Linked DNA regions of Caenorhabditis elegans. The protein of the gene in region 2 interacts with the protein of the main gene of each other region in a pairwise test. Each region holds a gene or a part of one and is shown on either strand. Other genes may lie near its edges.

Region 1 (3,754 bases), on a different chromosome or scaffold from region 2:
TTGCAGCTGTCAGTTCCCCGCCTCGCAATGATTTGGTGTCGTATCTGAAATATCTTAAGGATTCTTAGTGTCGATTCTTGAAAAAAGTGTTGCAACATCGCGATTAGCAAAATTTTTTCAGCAAACGTACAAAATTGGCTTTTTTTTAATTATGATAATCCAACTTTTCAATCTTAAATTGATATCGAAATTTATAAAAACGGTTCATTTCATCTTAAAATGTTATTTAATTTTGTCTACAAGCGTTTAAAAACATTAAATAGTGCATGAAAGTTGCCATTTCTATACCAGTTTTTGATTCGAAATATTGGATTATCTTATTGAAACAAGCACGTTTTCCAAAAAGATTTTCTGCACATTCCTGCTACCTACCTTCTCAACACATTGATAGCAGCAGTTCTGCATAGAGACACAACATCAGCTCCTGAGAATCCTTCAGTCCTTGCCGCCAAGTCATCATAGTTAATTTCATCGGATTTCGGAGTTCCTTCCATTGATTTTTCGATAAGCTTCTTTCTTGCATCTATATCTGGCAGTGGAATGAAGATTCGCTTTTCGAAACGTCTTCGGAGTGCCTCATCGAGCTCCCATGGAATATTTGTGGCGGCCAGCACGAATACACGTCGCGAATCGAATTTATTCTGTGACCCGTCCATTTGTACCAGAAACTCGGATTTAACACGCCGACTCGCTTCGTGTTCTCCAGAATTTCCACGTTGTCCACCAAGTGTGTCAATCTCATCGATGAAGATTATGGATGGAGCATAGAACCGTGCAAGTTCGAATAACAGACGAACAATCTTCTCGGAATCACCACGCCACTTGCTGGACAGATCAGTCGAGGAAACGGTAAAAAAAGTTGAACTAGACTCTGAAGCAATCGCACGTGCGATAAGAGTCTTTCCAGTTCCAGGTGGTCCAGCGAGAACCATTGCTTTCCATGGTGAACGGAGACCCTGGAAGAATTCTGGCACCAAGAGTGGAAGAGTGACGGCTTCGTGCAGAACTTGCTTCACGTCGTGCATTCCGATTATATCATCTAAAGACATTGTATTTTCCGTATTTGTAGCCATTGTACCACGCACCGCTTGAACAATGTACTGAAAAGATTTCTGATTTTTGTTTCTGGAAAACATAATAACTTACCGCATCATAAGCCGATGCATCGAATGAATCTCCAGCACTATTTTGAGGCAGTATTCCTTGTGTTGGATTCGCAGGCTTCACATCAGCCGGATTCGTGCTCATCGACGACGTTGACTTTGATATTTCTCTGGGACGTGGACCTGCTGCTCCAACTCCTTTCTTTGTTGCTCCAAATTTCGATGAGGATGGTAACGGTGGCGATGGTTTGGACCAAACATCTGGGTCTGCAGGTGGCTCTGGACTTCCACTTTGTCGCGTCATCGCCTCGTGTAGGTCATCTTCATCGCGCACATTTTGTTGGACAAGCTTCAAATTAGCCTCTAGGGCTCGTAGGAATGTCTGAAATTTCAAATAATTCAACAAGCTTTTAAAAGATTTATATTACGTACATTTCTTGCGTCATGCTCGTCTCTGTTGCTTGCCGAAATTTTACAGCTTTTGACATCTGTCATGAGCTGACGAAGAAGATCACCAGCCTCATTCCATCGTCCGGCATCGGACATTGTTTTCGCGACTTGGGCTCGCTCCAGATATCCGCGAATGACTGACTGCACATCCCCATTCATCCTGAAAATATACTTTAATTTTTCAATAATATACACTTCTACAGACGAGAGGATGAAATTTAGTATAAGACAATGGGATTTGGCGGAGAAGAAAATGGCAAGATGATGAATGATAACGAATAGGGAAACGACGGAACGGAGTGTGCGTGGACTTTATTAGATGGGAGAAGAAGATTGTACCGTGAAGATGAATTTAATATTATTTACAGAATAAAATGGTTGAATAGAAAACGATTTTTCTTTTTTTACTTGATATTGGCTCACTTGTTGGAAACATTGAAAGAGTTTAGCCGCAAAACAACAAGTATTTACAGCGGTAGATCACACAAAAAATGATAGGTCAAAAAAAGTTTTAGGAATTAAATCCTTAGCAAAAGGCTTGAAATCTGAGATCTTTCAGCGAGATATAAATGATTAGAACCTTCTAATTGCATATCACTTGAATAAAACCAAAATTAAGCGGCGAGTTATTGATTTTTCAGAAAACAGATTTCTGCTGGTCAAACCTCAGAATTAGCTCATCCGCGACAAACAATTAATTTACACAAAGCAAAAAAAAAAAAATTGATTAATAAAGAGAAGAAACAAGAGCAGTTTGAAAAGGAAATAATTGTTTCACTTGTTTAACAAAAAAAGATCATAAAGGTATAGACGAAATTTGTGTTGTCCGGAGCCAGTTTGATTTGCACAATTATAGTGTAACTTCTTAAAAGATATCTATAGAAAGCTTTTCATAAAAAGTAAAAAAATAATTGCTCAGGGCTCCGCGGAGCTGGAGCTCCGGAAGTATGGCGCAAAAGTACAAGTGTCGTCAGTTAAAATGTCGAGTACGCAATACACCCCAGACACTGTCACGTCTGAATGCACAATCGCTTGCAATTTGAACACTTTCAATTTTCGAATTTTAGCGGAATTCCGCGGAAAACTTTTACATTTTCTTAAATATTCTTCTCATTTTTTAGGATTATTATTATTAATTGGTTTTTTAAAACTGCCGTGTAGTCCATCATTGTACTGATTCGAGATTAAACGCGTTATTTTTGTTCAAATTCCGAGAAGAAACTCAAGAAACAAAAGGAAATTTTAAACCCTATGGAATTATCAAGTTAAAACCGTAAGAAGTTTTACAGAACTCCCGGAAAAATTTTATTTATCAGAAATCTCAATTTTATAAGTTAATGTTTCTACCGTGCTTACTATATTTTTAATACCACTTCACATGACATTAGTATCTCTTTCAGATGACGGATGTCGCTCGAGAATTCGGGATAGCTGTCAGCGACTCCTCCACGGTCTTCGCCTTCCTAACAGATAAAAAAGGATTTTCAAATAAAGGTAAAAATTGCATCTTCTTCAGTTTCCAACATAAGAGATTTTTCAGAAACAGTCTTGGTCGAGAAAGTTTCACAAAATCGACAAATTCTTGCGACACCAAATCTCAGACGACTTGTTATCGAAATGTATTCTGTATTTGATAAATGTCAAAAAGGCTCCTCACCTGATGCACCTCTAGACACGCCTACTTGCTGCACATTCTCTCGAGCTTATCGTTCAGTTCTCTACAATGCCGCCGTGTCTCACAGCAGTTCCGACTTCATGACAGACTTTGCTTTGTGGTCACTTTACGAGAAATTATGGTTTGGAAGAGGTGATAGCTCGATATGTGCGGATCTTATTTCATGGGCCAATCAGAGCTTCACGTTTTCTAGAGGAGCCATGGAATCAGCTGTGGAATATCTGCATCCGGGGAAGACGATTCCAGAAGAATATTGGAAGGGAGTAGCAGTCAGCTTGCTTAGTTGCAATTTCAGCGATTGTGTTGAACTGTTGGAGCTACATGGAGGCGGATCAGAATGTGATGCATTCATTGAGGCTCTCACATTCTTCAATCCCGAAAACTTAGTCGACGAAGCATTAGTAAGACCCATTTATATAATAATTCTTAAACTTCGTAATATTCTTATTTCAGGCTAACACAGTAAATGAATGGAAGGATATCATGCGTGAAAATTTGACAAGTGGGAAGTACGGGAGCAACGAAA
Region 2 (3,599 bases):
CAATCACATATCGTATCACGTAGTGCCAGGCTGTCCCGGTTCGATCTACAAAAAACGCGGGAATTTTTTGCCCAAAAATATGTGACGTCAGCACGTGTTCTTATCTATACGAAATCAGTTGAGAAGTCTGTGTCTCTTCTCCCGCATTTTTTGTAGATCTACGTAGATCAAGCCGAAATGAAATTTCTGCAATAAAAAACTCTTCGCGGCGAGACCCATCCGATAAGTTCCATGCGCCTTTATTTTTCAGAAAATTGCATAATATCCACGTTGCACGTTAAAGGAACATACTATCTTCCTCGGTGGGTCTCGTCACGATTCTTGTAATTTTGGATAATGATCATGATGTTCTTAGCTTGTGAGGACTGTAACTTTGAGCTCCGCAAACTATAATAACTTGCTCCTATGCTCATATTTCAAAGCTCGAGAGCTCAAAGAATTCCACTCTATGAACCCAAGCTCACGTGCCACAAGGATGTTACATTCTGATATTTGGTCTGTAAATTCTCAAACATCCTAGAAAAAATTTTTTTTCGCGTTTTTTTGTGTCTGGCTGGCTTCTGACGTGTTCGCGTTCAAATATGTATTGTGTCAAACACTCAAACACAAGAAATATGCCGTTTACACACACAGAGAGGGCTCGGTCAATACAAGCAAAATATAAGTAAAATTCGACGTAAATTTCCGAGTTTTGGTCTTCTACTCTGTAAATTTGCCATTTCATTTTTTTTCCTCTTTCAATAAATTGCGGGGGTGAAGACAGGTGTCAAACAAAAATGAATTCCATTTTTCAAACAAGTTGTGCACTGCAACCAGTTAATGTAATCGGTCATTGGTCCAAACACTCATGAAAGCAAATAAAAAATTCCGATTTGATGATCATAGATTCCGAATTTCTAAGGCATGCTTGCCCAAAGTTCACATTCCTCGGATCAACCAAACCACAGAAATATTTCGGAATTTTTCGTGAAAAGTCACGTGAAATCCAGCGACTTTTTTGCAAAGTGTTCCTTTCACCATTTCTCAAAAAATGAACTCTACAGCGAACTCGGGACTGCAAACTGTTGTCCGTGGAGAAGGGTATTTGTATGTTTTTCGATTTTTAAATTCAGGTATTAGTTGGTTCCTTTTAGGCTGGCCCATTTGTTCTTCGTGGTTCCAGTCATTGTGCTCCAGGTTCAGTACATCATGAGTGTTATCCGGCGGAGAAGACTGAAGAAGCAATTCCGAGCGGTTATCAGGAATAATGATCGATCTCCAGCCAATCCAGATGGCATTAGTGATAAATCTGATTAATTTTTGTTTTTTTTTTCCGATAAATTATTTTTTAATTTGCATTCGTTTTTTAATAGTCTTTTAAATCTTGATTAATTCAGAATAACTGTTTAATCTTTTTTAATTGAAATATTGACAAAATTATAAATTTCCGGCAATCCAGATGGAATCAGTGGAAAATTCGCTTAACTTCGTTTATCAAAGAAAAATCTTGAATTTTGTTTCAGTTCTTTAAATTTTTCATGTTTTTCATGTCAAACATAAATTTTCATTCGGCTAATGAATGCTAAAAAAGTCAATTTCATTATATTGTTGGAGAAAACGCGACTTTTAATGTATTTTCATATTAAAAGAACCGATCGAAAGTTGTGAAAAACTTATTAAAAGAAGAAATGGAAAGAAAAAAGCTAAATAACAATGAAATTTCATTTATACTCTCAATTTTTAATCAAAATTCTGAAAATTTTACTTATTTCTCACTGAAAACTCTGAAAACACTGAAAAATTGCCGAAATTCTGTCGAAAAATGTGTGAAATTGTAAAACATAAACAGGGCGCGCAACGACACTCCGCTCCAATCACGGGTCTCGCAACGAAAAAGTGTGCGCCTTTGAATGAATTGAGGGAATATTTCTACTAGCCTAAAATTTTTTTCACGTTTTTTACCGTAAAGTAGCGTGTTTTTGCCGGTTTTTCCGTTGTTTTTGATAAATTATAATTAAAATTTTGATTTTTAACGTTATTTTTGCAGGGTACATCTTAATCTACTCATAAATCATGGTAAGTTTTGAAATATTCATATTTTTAACTTGAAAACTAATATTTAAATTTTTTAGGGTATTGATATCAACCACAAGCACGATCGCGTCGCCCGCAGAACGGCACCAAAGAGTGAGAACCCTTACCTCCGTCTTCTGTCCAAGGTAACACTTAGTTTTTGTTGCTCTGTTTAAAAATTAATTTTAAGCTCTACGCTTTCCTCGCTAGACGCACTGGAGAGAAGTTCAACGCCATCGTCTTGAAGAGACTCCGCATGTCCCGTCGTAACCGTCAGCCACTCTCGCTCGCCAAGCTTGCCCGCGCCGTCCAGAAGGCTGGAAACGAGAACAAGACTGTTGTCACCCTCTCGACTGTCACCGATGATGCCCGTCTCTACACTGTCCCAAAGATCTCCGTAAGCATTTCTTTTACCGTTAAAATTGTAAAAATTATTCTTGGTTTTTATGAAACCAGTTTAGTACTGAAATAATACGAAAACATCGGAGTAACTCCGGAATTCTTCAAAATTCGTCTCATTTTCAATTAATTTAATTTAGGTCGCCGCTCTTCACGTCACCGAAGGAGCCCGCGCCAGAATCCTTGCTGCCGGAGGAGAAATCATCACCCTCGACCAGCTCGCCCTCAAGTCGCCAAAGGGAGAAAACACCGTCTTCCTCCAGGTATTTCACAATTTTTCTATTATCTTTATTTATTTTTGTACATTTTCAGGGACCACGATCTGCTCGTGAAGCCGAGAAGCACTTCGGACCAGCTCCAGGAGTCCCACACTCCCACACCAAGCCATACGTCAGATCAAAGGGACGCAAGTTCGAGCGCGCCCGCGGACGCAGAGCTTCCAGAGCCTACAAGAACTAAGTTGTTGTTATTTTGTTCCCATGATTGTTTTCGAATCATGCCGAATAAAAATGTGTCAATATTTAATGTTTTTGTGTTGAATGGATTTGATTGATATCAGGTGTTTCAAACCTTGCAGATAATGGAAAAATGTTACTTATTTTGAAAAGGGTTAAGTGGTGGCGGAACTTTTGGTCTTCATATATTGGAAGGAAGGAACAATAACGATACACTTATCGCCGACCTTCGAGATTGAAAAAGTTGTCTCCTTACATGGTTTCAATGTTCATTGCGCTTAGAAAACGTCGAAATATTCCGATTCCCAGCCTTTTGCCGTTCTTTTTGGCCTCCTAACAAAACGGCAGACAATGGTTGCCATCTGCATAAAAATAGGAGAGCGAGAGAGAAAAAGAGTGCACATCATGTTGTTGGCGTATACGTGGAAAACGCGTGTATCGTCTCACCAGTGCAACAAATCCCCCATTTTTGGTCTTTTTGCAATTCAATTTTCAAATATTTGTTCTAATCTGTTGCTGCTGCAGCAAAAGCTCGTAACTGTTCTCACTCCTCGTAAAACTATGAAATTTCCACGAGTTATTACTTTTCAGAGCATGGGTTTGAGCCGATACTTAAGCAGGCGTCATCACTGGGTAATACAATATTGCGGGCTTCTTCTATTTCTTTATTTAATTTATTCCTACGTTGCCACC
Region 3 (3,754 bases), on a different chromosome or scaffold from region 2:
GATAACACACAGCAAGCGAGAGAGACGGGGAGAAAAACGAAATATTTTGGGCGAAAAGGCAATTTGTGAATGAGTGATAGGGACATGTATAGCGCCCCCCCGAAAAGTACCATAAGGCGCCAAGTTGAGTTATTTTATAGACTGTTGATTTGTTGCTGGGAGGTTTGAGATTTGAGATTCTATTACACTGGTTTTTGATCTTTTTTATTTGAGAATGGTGATTCACAACTTCCAGCATTAAAAAAAATCTGAAAGTGCACCGTATATTCCCTTTTAGTATGGCGCCCCCCTCACTCGACTTTGACCGTTTATATCTCGGTTCTCTTTGATTGATCATATTTCAAAAATTCAAACGACAAAATCTTTTTCAAATCTATTGTTATGCTCTGGTTTTTAAAGGTACCAAAAATCTTCTGAAACCGCTGAAATATAAGCCGACAAAGTCAATTGATAGGGGGGGGGGTCATACTAATAGGAAATATACGGTAGTATAAACTGCTATACACACCTAGTTCAAAAGTCATGGGGTACTTAGTAATTCTATTCTAGTTAAAGAAAAAACAGTCCCGCCGGATGTCAGTTGCTGTAAACAAAGTTATGTAATTATGGCAATATCAAGGATGTGGAAAAAATCAACAGCAACATTTTGTTAGTTGGAAATTTTTTGCTAGCAGTTATCATATTCGAGTTACCTATACTTGTTTGAGCAATTCAAGCAAATCACCGTAAAAGCGAAAATAGCTAATATATAAACTTAAATGAGTTCAGGAAAAAAACCTAAATCCTAAAAGCTACGTTTTACATAAGACATTAAAATACGGCATACCTTACAAAAAATCGATATTGGTATAATTAGAACCACAGCTTCTGACACTTTGCCCCTTCTCTACCGTACCATAAAACTGATGTAAAGTGTCTGTTATCGATATAGTCTTCTCCTCTCCTTTTTTGCCTTTTCTCCAAAAAAAAAAGAGTGTCGCCAGTGCGTGTTTATACACGTCGTCGATACACACACACACACATATACAACTTGAAAGGGTCGCCGCTGGCGCCGCGAGGAGAGTGCACTCTCCGATTACTGTATGGGGGCAAAAAAATGAAGAAGATTCTATATAAGGAAGAATGACGAACAAAAAAAGAGATGATCGGAAGATAAAGTGGTACGGTAGGAATTGAAGGCGCGTGTGTGATTTGATATCGATTACTAATTGGGCAAGGGCGAGGCGAAATTTATGGGTGGGGGAGGTCTCAACGGTAATTAATAATTTTATGATTGTTATGCGGAAAAGGAAAGGAATGAGATCCAAATAGGCTGCGAATTGACTTATGATCTTTTAGAAAGTTCCGAGTTACGGAGCAGAAAACCGTGTTCTCCTACCCTTGCAACTCGCGGCGGTAAGATCAAAGCTAGTGATAGCGAGGAATGCGGAGGTGGGCGGGCAGATGGAAGAGCACAATGACATAATAGAAGTGAGATGTTGGAACTAACCACTTAAATTTCCATCGAGACTTGGAATGGAGTAGTTAGCTGTGAATTGATACGGTTGTCCGTATGAGTACCAACCAGTTGAGGCCAGCGGATTTTGATAGAAATCCGTGTAGACCGGGTTCATCATCATTCCAAACTCGTTGGCAGTTGGCATTCGACTTGGTCCGAACCCATACATCCCTGCTGTTCCAGGCATAACCATTCCTGTGCTGAAAATGATAGATGTCATTTGCCAAATCAACTTCACACTAACCTAGACGGCGCTAGCTGTGGACTCGACCCAGTTTCAGATTCTCTTTCCGAACGGCTTTCTCCTTGTATCGACGGTATGGCAGCAGCAGCACTTGGCCAGAAGAATGGAGTTTGTTGGACAGAGGTGATAGATTCTTTAGAGTCTTCTGGAGAGTCGTTATTAATCATTTGTTGCATCACCGAAATCATTCCATATATGAGCAGCTTGGGGAGTTATTTGGGTTTGGAGATCTGTTTTTGAACCTGAAAGTTGAGCACTTTGCGAGATTGAGCTTGAAAAAGTAAGGAAAAGAAAAACGAGAATTTAAAAAGCTTATATTTGAACACTACTGTAGCACTTGTGTCGATTTACGGGCTCGATTTTTGAAATGAATTTAGCACGGCTTGTAAGAGCTACAGTAGTCATTTACCGTATATTTCCTATTAGTACGGCCCCCCTCACTCGACTTTGAACGCTTATATCTCGGTTCTTTTTGATCATATGTCAAAAACTCGAACGACAATATCTTTTTCAAATCTATAGTTATGCTCTGGTTTTTGAAGGTATCAAAAATCTTATGAAACCGCTGAAATATAAGACGACAAAGTCGATTGATGGGGGGCCATACTAACTAGATATAAAGCTTTAGCTACGATATATTTAGGATTTTGACGCGGAAAATTAATTAATTAGTAAATAAGCTTATAACAGTAATTATTATTTATCGGCGACAAACGCGGCAATCAAAACCTTAAGCACCAATAAAATAATTTTAAACCTCATAAACCTTTTGAGGGTAATAAAATAAAAGCTGGGGGGGCACATAAATAACATAAATGTTGAAACATGCATGCGAGACAAGTAATAAAGATTAAGAGAGCACTAAAAAAGTTTTATAAACGCATTAAAAAGGTGTTTCCTCTTTCCCCCTTGTGTTGGAAAACACCAAAGAGACTATAAAGAGAATAAGGGGCGGGGGGCCGTGAAAGGTGATGAGGCCGAGGAGCAGAAAGGAGGACACTACATAACACGCACGCTCCACCCACTTGTCTACCGTACCCCTCTGACGAATTGGGCGGCGAGGAGCGGGGCGGGCGGGGAACAGAGAATGAATAGGAGAGACAAGTTGAGTGCAAAAAGCAAGGGAAAAGCAAATTCCATGATTTTGACAAATATCAACTTTTTATTCCCATATATATGATACAAAATTTGAGCGTTTTTTTTTCAATTTTATTATATCAATTCATTTGAAAAAAAAACCCGACCTCCTGCACTCCGTATTCTATGATATAATTTTAGTATAGGAAACCTTCCACCAATTTTACGACTGGATTACCTTCCGATCCGATTTGCCTTTTAGTCAATGGACAGGAAGAGAGAAAGAGAGGTCGCCACTTTTTTTTCTTTTTTCTCGCTTCGGTTTCTGGTCATTCTATTTTTCTTGTCAAGAGGATTTAGATTTGAAATTTAAAAAACCCCCTGAAGCTTGAGTATTTAAGCTTCCCGCACACGTGGTGCCAGAGTGTCTCATTTTGGATTGATCTACGCTGATCTACCAAAAAATGCGGCAGAGTTCTCAATTGATTTTGCATGGTTAAGAACGTGCTGACGTCACATTTTTTGAGAAAAAAATTACCGCATTTTTTGTAGATCAAACCGTAATGGGACAGCCTGACACCACGTGGCGGCTTATACCTCGGCTGTCTTCAGTTTTACCAAAAAATTTGCAATAACCAAAATATAGGGAAACACTTTGCACTTATTTTGTCCGTTTGCAATTGTTTGATAAAACCAAAGCGAACCGAGTTTTAGGCTGTCAAAGTAGAGCAGGGGGTGCTTTTTTAGAACAGTTTTGATTTTTTAGATACAGGTTTTTATTTAAATTTGAGACCCTAAAACTATCGTGAGACTTAGGCTTAGACTTAGGCTTGAGCTTAGGCCCTTTGAAATTCTAGAAACTTATTTCTGGAAAATCAGAATGAAACTTTTCAAAAAAAAAAAGGATTAAATGCTTTTATGGCGGTTCAAAATTT

Evidence for each region.
Region 1: the proteins of rpl-18 (region 2) and mei-1 interact in a two-hybrid assay, tested with the Caenorhabditis elegans proteins (one large-scale study listed by BioGRID).
Region 3: the proteins of rpl-18 (region 2) and nob-1 interact in a two-hybrid assay, tested with the Caenorhabditis elegans proteins (one large-scale study listed by BioGRID).

Annotation. Positions count from the first base shown.
Region 1 is NC_003279.8:8,292,840-8,296,593, reverse strand, and holds the start of mei-1 (Meiotic spindle formation protein mei-1), read right to left. Parts: upstream 1,721-3,754; 5' UTR 1,713-1,720; coding exon 1,536-1,712; intron 1,486-1,535; coding exon 1,147-1,485; intron 1,101-1,146; coding exon 373-1,100; intron 54-372; coding exon 1-53. Other genes in the region: npp-2 (Nuclear pore complex protein Nup85), read left to right, coding at 2,954-3,047, 3,094-3,629, 3,682-3,754. UniProt on the Caenorhabditis elegans protein: Catalytic subunit of a complex which severs microtubules in an ATP-dependent manner. Microtubule severing may promote rapid reorganization of cellular microtubule arrays.
Region 2 is NC_003282.8:13,775,839-13,779,437, forward strand, and holds rpl-18 (Large ribosomal subunit protein eL18), read left to right. Parts: upstream 1-2,026; 5' UTR 2,027-2,052; coding exon 2,053-2,055; intron 2,056-2,111; coding exon 2,112-2,198; intron 2,199-2,242; coding exon 2,243-2,449; intron 2,450-2,591; coding exon 2,592-2,714; intron 2,715-2,763; coding exon 2,764-2,910; 3' UTR 2,911-2,971; downstream 2,972-3,599. Other genes in the region: Y45F10D.16 (uncharacterized protein), read left to right, coding at 1,031-1,086, 1,134-1,296; gly-10 (Putative polypeptide N-acetylgalactosaminyltransferase 10), read left to right, coding at 3,258-3,599.
Region 3 is NC_003281.10:12,082,333-12,086,086, forward strand, and holds the start of nob-1 (Homeobox protein nob-1), read right to left. Parts: upstream 1,985-3,754; 5' UTR 1,931-1,984; coding exon 1,743-1,930; intron 1,699-1,742; coding exon 1,490-1,698; intron 1-1,489. UniProt on the Caenorhabditis elegans protein: Transcription factor, involved in posterior embryonic patterning, morphogenetic movements of the posterior hypodermis, and cell fate specification. Binds to the 5'-TAGT-3' motif in regulatory elements of genes, including Meis protein psa-3 and microRNA mir-57.